Pelodiscus sinensis: one gene and its partner. The protein of the gene in region 2 purifies or fractionates together with the protein of the main gene of each other region. This does not show direct contact. Links are inferred from orthologs where the notes say so. Each region holds a gene or a part of one and is shown on either strand. Other genes may lie near its edges.

What was found. Proteins that work in one complex are often made in the same cells at the same time.
Region 1: the proteins of OCRL (region 2) and RAB1A purify together in Homo sapiens (co-immunoprecipitation; 3 studies listed by BioGRID and IntAct, with this or other methods). This does not show direct contact. The link is inferred for Pelodiscus sinensis from reciprocal best matches to the Homo sapiens genes OCRL and RAB1A.

Annotation. Positions count from the first base shown.
Region 1 is NC_134713.1:183,936,586-183,940,328, reverse strand, and holds the start of RAB1A (ras-related protein Rab-1A), read right to left. Parts: upstream 2,843-3,743; 5' UTR 2,615-2,842; coding exon 2,592-2,614; intron 1-2,591. UniProt on the Homo sapiens protein: The small GTPases Rab are key regulators of intracellular membrane trafficking, from the formation of transport vesicles to their fusion with membranes.
Region 2 is NC_134723.1:1,985,974-1,989,716, forward strand, and holds the start of OCRL (inositol polyphosphate 5-phosphatase OCRL), read left to right. Parts: upstream 1-999; 5' UTR 1,000-1,153; coding exon 1,154-1,183; intron 1,184-2,002; coding exon 2,003-2,073; intron 2,074-2,851; coding exon 2,852-2,931; intron 2,932-3,743. UniProt on the Homo sapiens protein: Catalyzes the hydrolysis of the 5-position phosphate of phosphatidylinositol 4,5-bisphosphate (PtdIns(4,5)P2) and phosphatidylinositol-3,4,5-bisphosphate (PtdIns(3,4,5)P3), with the greatest catalytic activity towards PtdIns(4,5)P2.

The DNA.
Region 1 (3,743 bases), on a different chromosome or scaffold from region 2:
AGGAATGAAGATTAATACATCTAACAATTCCCTGCAAGAAACACTACCCCAAACATTTAAGAGTCAGAGATCCTGCATTATGGATAGTTTCTGCCCCCGGTGTTGTAGGAATCCAGAACATTCATTATAGGAAGTCTCATAATTAAGACTAAAGTTGGAATGTTACCATATTTTCCTCCTTGTTTTGTTTACTTACCTGCCAACTAGTCGCTGCCAACTAGTCACTGGAAAACTAGTCACATTAAGATGACACGAGTACGTGTAAACTGTTTTATTTGAAAGCCAGTCTGTGCAGCTACTTCCCATCCTTTCATACAGATAAGGAACAGAGGGTTTTTTTTTTTTAAAAGACTACTCTCCGCCAATTTGTTCAATGTTACAACATTTTAATCAAGTGTTCCTGAACTTCTCCAATAGTTGGTGTAACTGCGAAGCTTTCACTATAACATTTGCTGAAGCCTATTTATTAGATCTTGTAGGCAGTTTTCCAGGTTACTGGGTATTTCAGAAAGGCATAAAAGATCGTGGAAAAGCTTTGATAAATGAAAGTCTTCACATTCACTGATCATATTTAACCACTGCTTTGCCTGAGAAGTAGTTTTGAGAAGAAACAAGAAAATCCAAACGTGTTACATAATTCTAAAACACAGAAACAAGCCAAACATTCTGGTTTGTCTTGAAGTCCAAGATTAAACCTGACCCAGAACTAATCTAATCTTTAATTTGGGGGTGAAGTTAATTCCCTTCCAGCAATGACTGACCCTTTGAAGGATTTTTACCATTTACAGCTCTTCAGAAATCTCATTTTAAGGCTGCTTTCAATTAAACAGCACAAACCCTCCAAGGTTGTGATCATACATCAAGCAAGGAATTAAAAAACCACCACTACAGAGCTGTAAATATGTAAGAACAAACCTGTAGAGCAATAAAAGGTTCATTTCTGAATGTACAGATTTAACTTTGGTAAGAAAAGCTAAGTATAGCCAATAAAGTCAGTCCATAACAATCATTCTTGCATTCCAAATGCTGCAGTTTTGGGATAGTGGATAGCAAAAGAAAGTTAGCTTCATTACCCCAAGCTGAAACCAAGCATGAGAAAGCCAGAAGAAAATAAAGTTAATTTTAAAAATCTCAGTATCTGTAGCATTAGCAACATTCTTTTAAGCCAAGGCCCTTTAATAAGCACAGATTCCCCTCTCTTCTACACTGGAAAAAATAGAGCAGAAAAAAGGTATTGTCCAACTTTAGAGGTGGCAAAGCCACACTATTCTTCACAATCAGCAGTCTCTTGGCAACAGTAACTAGGGACCTCAATCATCTCTACTCCCAAAGTATTGACTGTTCCAAACAAAAAACAAAACCTTAAGACTTAAGGTGATCAAATAAATTGTCATTAGGGTTGTAGTGGTAATATTTTGACTAGTATAAGATATTTCTCATTCATAATGCCTGTATCCCCACTTCAAGGCATCACCTATAGCAACATTTCACTATCAAGCCACAGTATTGCAAAATCTACATAAGCAAGAATGTGTTTTGCAAGAACCATGTGACACACACATGACTTGCAGCAAAAATTAAGGGTGGACTTCTGCATGTTAAGCTGCCAACAACAGCAAGTGGTCAGAAAGAGCTTTTCACAAGAACCAAGTACTCTGGATTTTTAAATCATTGGTCCCCTTCCTCTCCGGTGGAAACATAATGTTTTAGTGACCGAACAAGCTTTAGTAAAGTCTTGAGCAAATAATGGCAATGAGATTTACTTTAAAAATCAAACGGGGTTCTTCTCTCTCCTGCAATGGTTATTTGGAGGAAAGTTCGAAAACAAAGTTCGCTATGAATGTCTGCTCTACTGCTTCTCAGTTTAGTAAAGATACCACAACTAGCTTTTCATGACAAAGCATGAGACCTCTTCACTTCCCATCTGCAAGGATTGCTGTAAGCAACCTAAACGCTCCAGAGAAATCACACTTGTTTCTCTTTCCATTCATCCGGGGTAGGTCTTCCAGTCACATTCTGCACTGAGCAAAATCCACTCTGGCGTTGCAGCCTGTTAAATAACTCAGGAAAACGGAAGTGAGTTTGCCCGGGCTGTGCACAAATCGCTCCTGGTGTCTGACAGGCTGGAGCGCCCCAGAGCCGAGCCGGTGACCTCAGGATCGCCCCCCCCCCCCCCCCCGTGATCCCCTTGTACAAAGCGCAGTGACCTGTCCCTGCCGGTTCAGGTGCAGGAGACGCTGCCCTGCCCGCGCAGTCACACCGATCCAGCCCATCCCGCAGGCCAATCGGGTGCTCGGGGCCACTCACCCCGGCTGGAGGATGCTGCCACCTGGCTCTTGCACAACGCTTCCCACAGCCGGATACCTGCCCCTCGGCCGCATGTCGCCTCCCCCCGCCCCACTCTCACTTCTGGGGCACCGCCCCACACCCTGCCCCCTCCCCACTACAGCCCCGGCCCGCCCCTCGCCGGGAGGCGACACAATGGCCCCCACCCCGCCTGTCCGCCCCGCAGCGGCGGCCTCCCCCTTCCGCAGCCCCCCCCCCCCGACCGGTTAAATTCCCCCCCCCCCCCCAGCGCCGGCCCCACTCACTATTCGGGATTCATGCTGGACATGTCAGAGGGGACCCGCGGCCTCTGGAGAACGAGCTCGCTCTGAGGAGCAGCAGCGGCGGCCAGACCCCCCCCAGCGGGAGCTGCGCGGATGCGGGCGTCCGACGGGGCAGCGGAGGCAGCAGCTTCTCCCCCCTCCCCTCGCAGGCGGCGGCGGCCTCCGCTCCGAGCTCCTCAACCCAAAATGGCTGCCAGCCCCGAACCAGGAAACAGGGAAACCTCTCCCCAAGGAGGGTTTACATGGTGGGAGGGCGGCGGCGGGGGATGCTGGGAAAACGAGTTTCCAGCCGCAGAGCCTGCCCCTCCAAGCCGCTGGAGCCGTGACCAGATAGGGACTCGTCTTCCCGGCACAGCCCGCGCCTGCCGCGGCGCATGCGCAGTCCCGAGCCTTTCTTTTCTCGCTTGGGTTGACGCCGCTTGGATTGGTTGAGAGCGAGCCGGCCGGGTAACGTCAGCCGTGAGACGTGGCAGCTCGGGCGACTCACTAACCCGACTGAAAGAAGAGGGCGTGGCCGCGGGTAGGGCGGGGGCGGGGCAGGGCACCGGGGCCGCGGAGGGTTAGCAGCGGGGAGAGGGAGCACATGCGGGAAGGCAGCGCGGCAGGGGGTGGGGGGAGTAGGGGGCAGGATAGCAGTGAGGGGGTATGGGGTGGGGGCAGGATAGCAGTGAGGGTGCAGGGGATGGGAAGAGTAGGAGTAGGGGGCAGGATAGCAGTGAGGGTGCAGGGGGTGGGAAGAGTAGGAGTAGGGGGCAGGATAGCAGTGAGGGGGTATGGGGTGGGGGCAGGATAGTAGTGAGGGTGCAGGGGGTGGGGGCAGGATAGCAGTGAGGGTGCAGGGGGTGGGAAGAGTAGGAGTAGGGGGCAGGATAGCAGTGAGGGTGCAGGGGTGGGAGGAGCAGGAGTAGGGGGCAGGATAGCAGTGAGGGGGTGGGAGGAGCAGGGGTAGGGGGCAGGATTAGGGTTGCCAGGTTTTGAACCGGATAGTCCAGTATATGAGCTTTCTGTTCGGGAAGCAAATTGAGAAAATATAAATGTCCGGTACTTTCTAAATTGTGATGTCATGTCAAGTGTGTCTGGTATTTTTGTTGAAACCATCTGGCAACCCTAGGCAGGACTGCAGTGGGGCTGCAG
Region 2 (3,743 bases):
CGGAGAGGGTGGTGGTGACAGGCGGAGAGGGCATTGGGCGGGGGTGGAGCTGACAGGCGGAGAGGGCGGTGGTGACAGGTGCAGAGGGCGGTGGGCGGGTGTGGCGCTGACAGGCAGAGAGGGCAGTGGTGACAGGCAGAGAGGGCGGTGGGTGGGGGTGGCACTGACAGGTGGGGTGGGCGGTGCTGACTGGCGGAGAGGGCGGTGGGTGGGGGTGGCACTGACAGGTGGGGTGGGCGGTGCTGACTGGCGGAGAGGGCGGTGGGCGGGGGGTAGCGCTGACAGGCAGAGAAGGCGGTGGTGACAGGCGGAGAGGGCATTGGGCGGGGGTGGAGCTGACAGGCGGAGAGGGCGGTGGTGACAGGCGGGGTGGGCAGTGGGCGGGGGTGGCACTGACAGGCGGAGAGGGCGGTGGGCGGGGGCGGTGGTGACAGGCAGAGAGGGCGGTGGTGACAGGCAGAGAGGGCGGTGGGCGGTGGTGACAGGTGGGGTGGGCGGTGGGCGGTGGTGACAGGCGGGGTGGGCAGTGGGCGGGGGTGGCGGTGGGCGGTGGTGACAGGCGGGGGGTGGCGGTGACAGGCGGGGTGGGCGGGGCGGGGGTGACAGGCGGGGTGGGGTGACAGGCGGAGAGGGCGGGGGTGGGCGGGGGCGGTGGTGACAGGCGGGGCGGGGCTGGCGCTGACAGTTCGGGGGCGGTGGTGACAGGCGGGGTGGGCAGTGGGCGGGGGTGGCGGTGGGCGGTGGTGACAGGCGGGGGTGGCGGTGACAGGCGGGGTGGGCGGGGCGGGGGTGACAGGCGGGGTGGGGTGACAGGCGGAGAGGGCGGGGGTGGGCGGGGGCGGTGGTGACAGGCGGGGCGGGGCTGGCGCTGACAGTTCGGGGGCGGTGGTGACAGGCGGGGTGGGCGGTGGGCGGGGCGGGGCGGGCCCGGCGCTACCAGGGCGGGGCGGGCCCATTGCCGCAGGGAGGGTCCCTTGCCCATTGCCGCGTGTCCGGGCGCGGGGCTCAGGCGCGGCCCGGCCGGGGACTGGCTGCAGCGCGCTCCTCCGGCCGCCAGGGGGCGGGGTCCCGGCCGGGCCCGCTCGCTGCGCCCTCGGCTCGGGAGTCGCCGGGAGACGGGGCCGCGGGAGCGACCTGCCCCGACCCGCCGCCCATGGAGCCGCCCGCGGCCTGGAGCCTGGACGTATCCGCGGGACCCGGGCGGGGGGGGTGTCGGGGGGGCTGGAGGGACCCGGGGCGGGGGGGGGTGTCGGGGGGGCTGGGGGGACCCGGGGCGGGGGAGGGGTGTCGGGGGGGCTGGGGGGACCCGGGGCGGGGGAGGGGTGTCGGGGGGGCTGGGGGGACCCGGGGCGGGGGAGGGGTGTAGGGGGGACTGGGGGGACCCGGGGCGGGGGAGGGGTGTCGGGGGCTGGAGGGTCCCGGGGCGGGGGAGGGGTGTCGGGGGGGCTGGGGGGTCCCGGGGCGGGGGAGGGGTGTCGGGGGGGCTGGGGGGTCCCGGGGCGGGGGAGGGGTGTCGGGGGGGCTGGGGGGTCCCGGGGCGGGGGAGGGGTGTCGGGGGGGCTGGGGGGTCCCGGGGCGGGGGAGGGGTGTCGGGGGGGCTGGGGGGGTCCCGGGGCGGGGGAGGGGTGTCGGGGGGGTGGGGGGTCCCGGGGCGGGGGAGCGGTGTCGGGGGGGGCGGGGGGTCCCGGGGCGGGGGAGGGGTGTCGGGGGGGGCTGGGGGGTCCCGGGGCGGGGGAAGGGTGTCGGGGGGGGTGGGGGGGTCCCGGGGCGGGGTAGCGGTGTCCGGGAGGGGGGCTGGGGGGTCCCGGGGCGGGGGAGGGGTGTTGGGGGGGGCTGGGGGGTCCCGGGGCGGGGGAGGGGTGTCGGGGGGGTGGGGGGTCCCGGGGCGGGGGAGCGGTGTCGGGGGGGGCGGGGGGTCCCGGGTCGGGGTAGCGGTGTCCGGGAGGGGGGCTGGGGGGCTCTGGTGCCGTGGCATTGCTGTGTTCCTTAGCCGTGTGCCCATGCGGTGGAGGTGAGAGCAGGACAGAGGGTGCCCTGCGTCCTGAGCCTCTCCCAGCGCCGCGGGCAGTGCGAGTGAGTAGCGCACACGGGTGGCCGGGGTCCACAGGGAGGTGGGCTGCCCACGGTGGCCGGATTGCACAGAGGTGGCAGGGCTGCGCTTTGGGGGTACTACTGGATAGGAGTCAGGGTGCAGCATCTTCCTTGCCCTTGTGGGGCACAGGAATTGTTCATTTGTCAGCTGGGCTGTGTTGGCAGACGGCTGTGTAGTGTTTGGGGGAAGGTGAGCGTATCCCATGTTATTGTAGGGGGTGAAACTAAGTTCCTCTCTCTTGTGTGGGCACCTCTTCCATGGCTCTCGCTCCATTCCTGTGTCTCCGGAGTCGGAGGTTACACTACTAGATGAGTTAAAGCTGTATAGCTTTTGTGGGTAGGAAATCCCTGAGAAATGGAAAGGCCTGTCACACTAGCAGCACACTTGCTCTTGGAGTCTTGCCCCTCACTTTGGGGATGCTGTCCTCTTACCAGACAGAGAAGTGGCCCTGCTTCCAAGTGTTAGGTCCCTAGTCGACTCCCCATTTCTTCTGGTGTAAGCAACTTAGCATGCTTCCTTCATCATGTGCAGATCAGGAAGCATCTTTGGGAGCTTTTCTTCCAGACACATATTATTGCATGCATCTGTCTGTATACCTACGGATAACTGTTCCTCCCCACTGTTCCCACCAACGTAGATCAAGAGCAGGGATTGAAGGGTCTTTGGTTTCAGGAGAAATACAGCCATGGTGTCAGCAATACCTTTTGCCCATGAATCTTTTAGTTTTGGAGCTGTTCTGAGTCTTCCCCTTCTCTCCAGGTTGGTTATCCATTCGCGGGAGAAGGACACACCTGATCAGGATAACATTCCCATCAACAGCCGCTTTAGATGTGTTCAAGGTACTGATGCTCCCACACCTGCCCCTGTACTCTGCAGCTAGAAACCCGCTGCTTTGTTGTCCTGGCTGTACACATTGGAGTTTCCTTGTGGAGCTGAAACTCAGGGCTTATAATTACGGCTTCCTGCTTCTTCCTTCTCCCAAAGCTGTGTGGGGAGTTGGTGGATCTCAATATAAATATCGATGTGTGGATGTTTGGCTAGTTCAGCTGCCAGCATGAGGAGCAGCATATGGAGGCCAAGTGAAGGCTGCGTTTTGGTGGCCCCCATGACGGGAGAGGGTAAAAAGGACAGGATGTGCTGGGTCCTATGAGATTCTGAGCCCCCATGGAACTTTGAGGGTAGGCTGGAGGTCTCATGGGATTTGGAGCCACAAGTTTTGTCATAAAGCTACAGGCCCACTCAATGACCCCAGCTTTGGAACAGCCTCAGGGTATGTCTACACTACCCCGCTAGTTCGAACTAGCGGGGTAATGTAGGCATACCGCAATTGCAAATGAAGCCCGGGATTTGAATTTCCCGGGCTTCATTTGCATAAGCCGGGCGCTGCCATTTTTAAATCCCCGCTCGTTCGAACCCCGTGCCGCGCGGCTACACGCGGCACGAACTAGGTAGTTCGAACTAGGCTTCCTAGTTCGAACTACCATTACTCCTCGTGGAATGGGGCACGGGGTTCGAACGAGCGGGGATTTAAAAATGGCGGCACCCCGCTTATGCAAATGAAGCCCAGGAAATTCAAATCCCAGGCTTCATTTGCAATTGCGGTATGCCTACATTACCCTCCTATTTCGAAATAGGAGGGTAGTGTAGACAT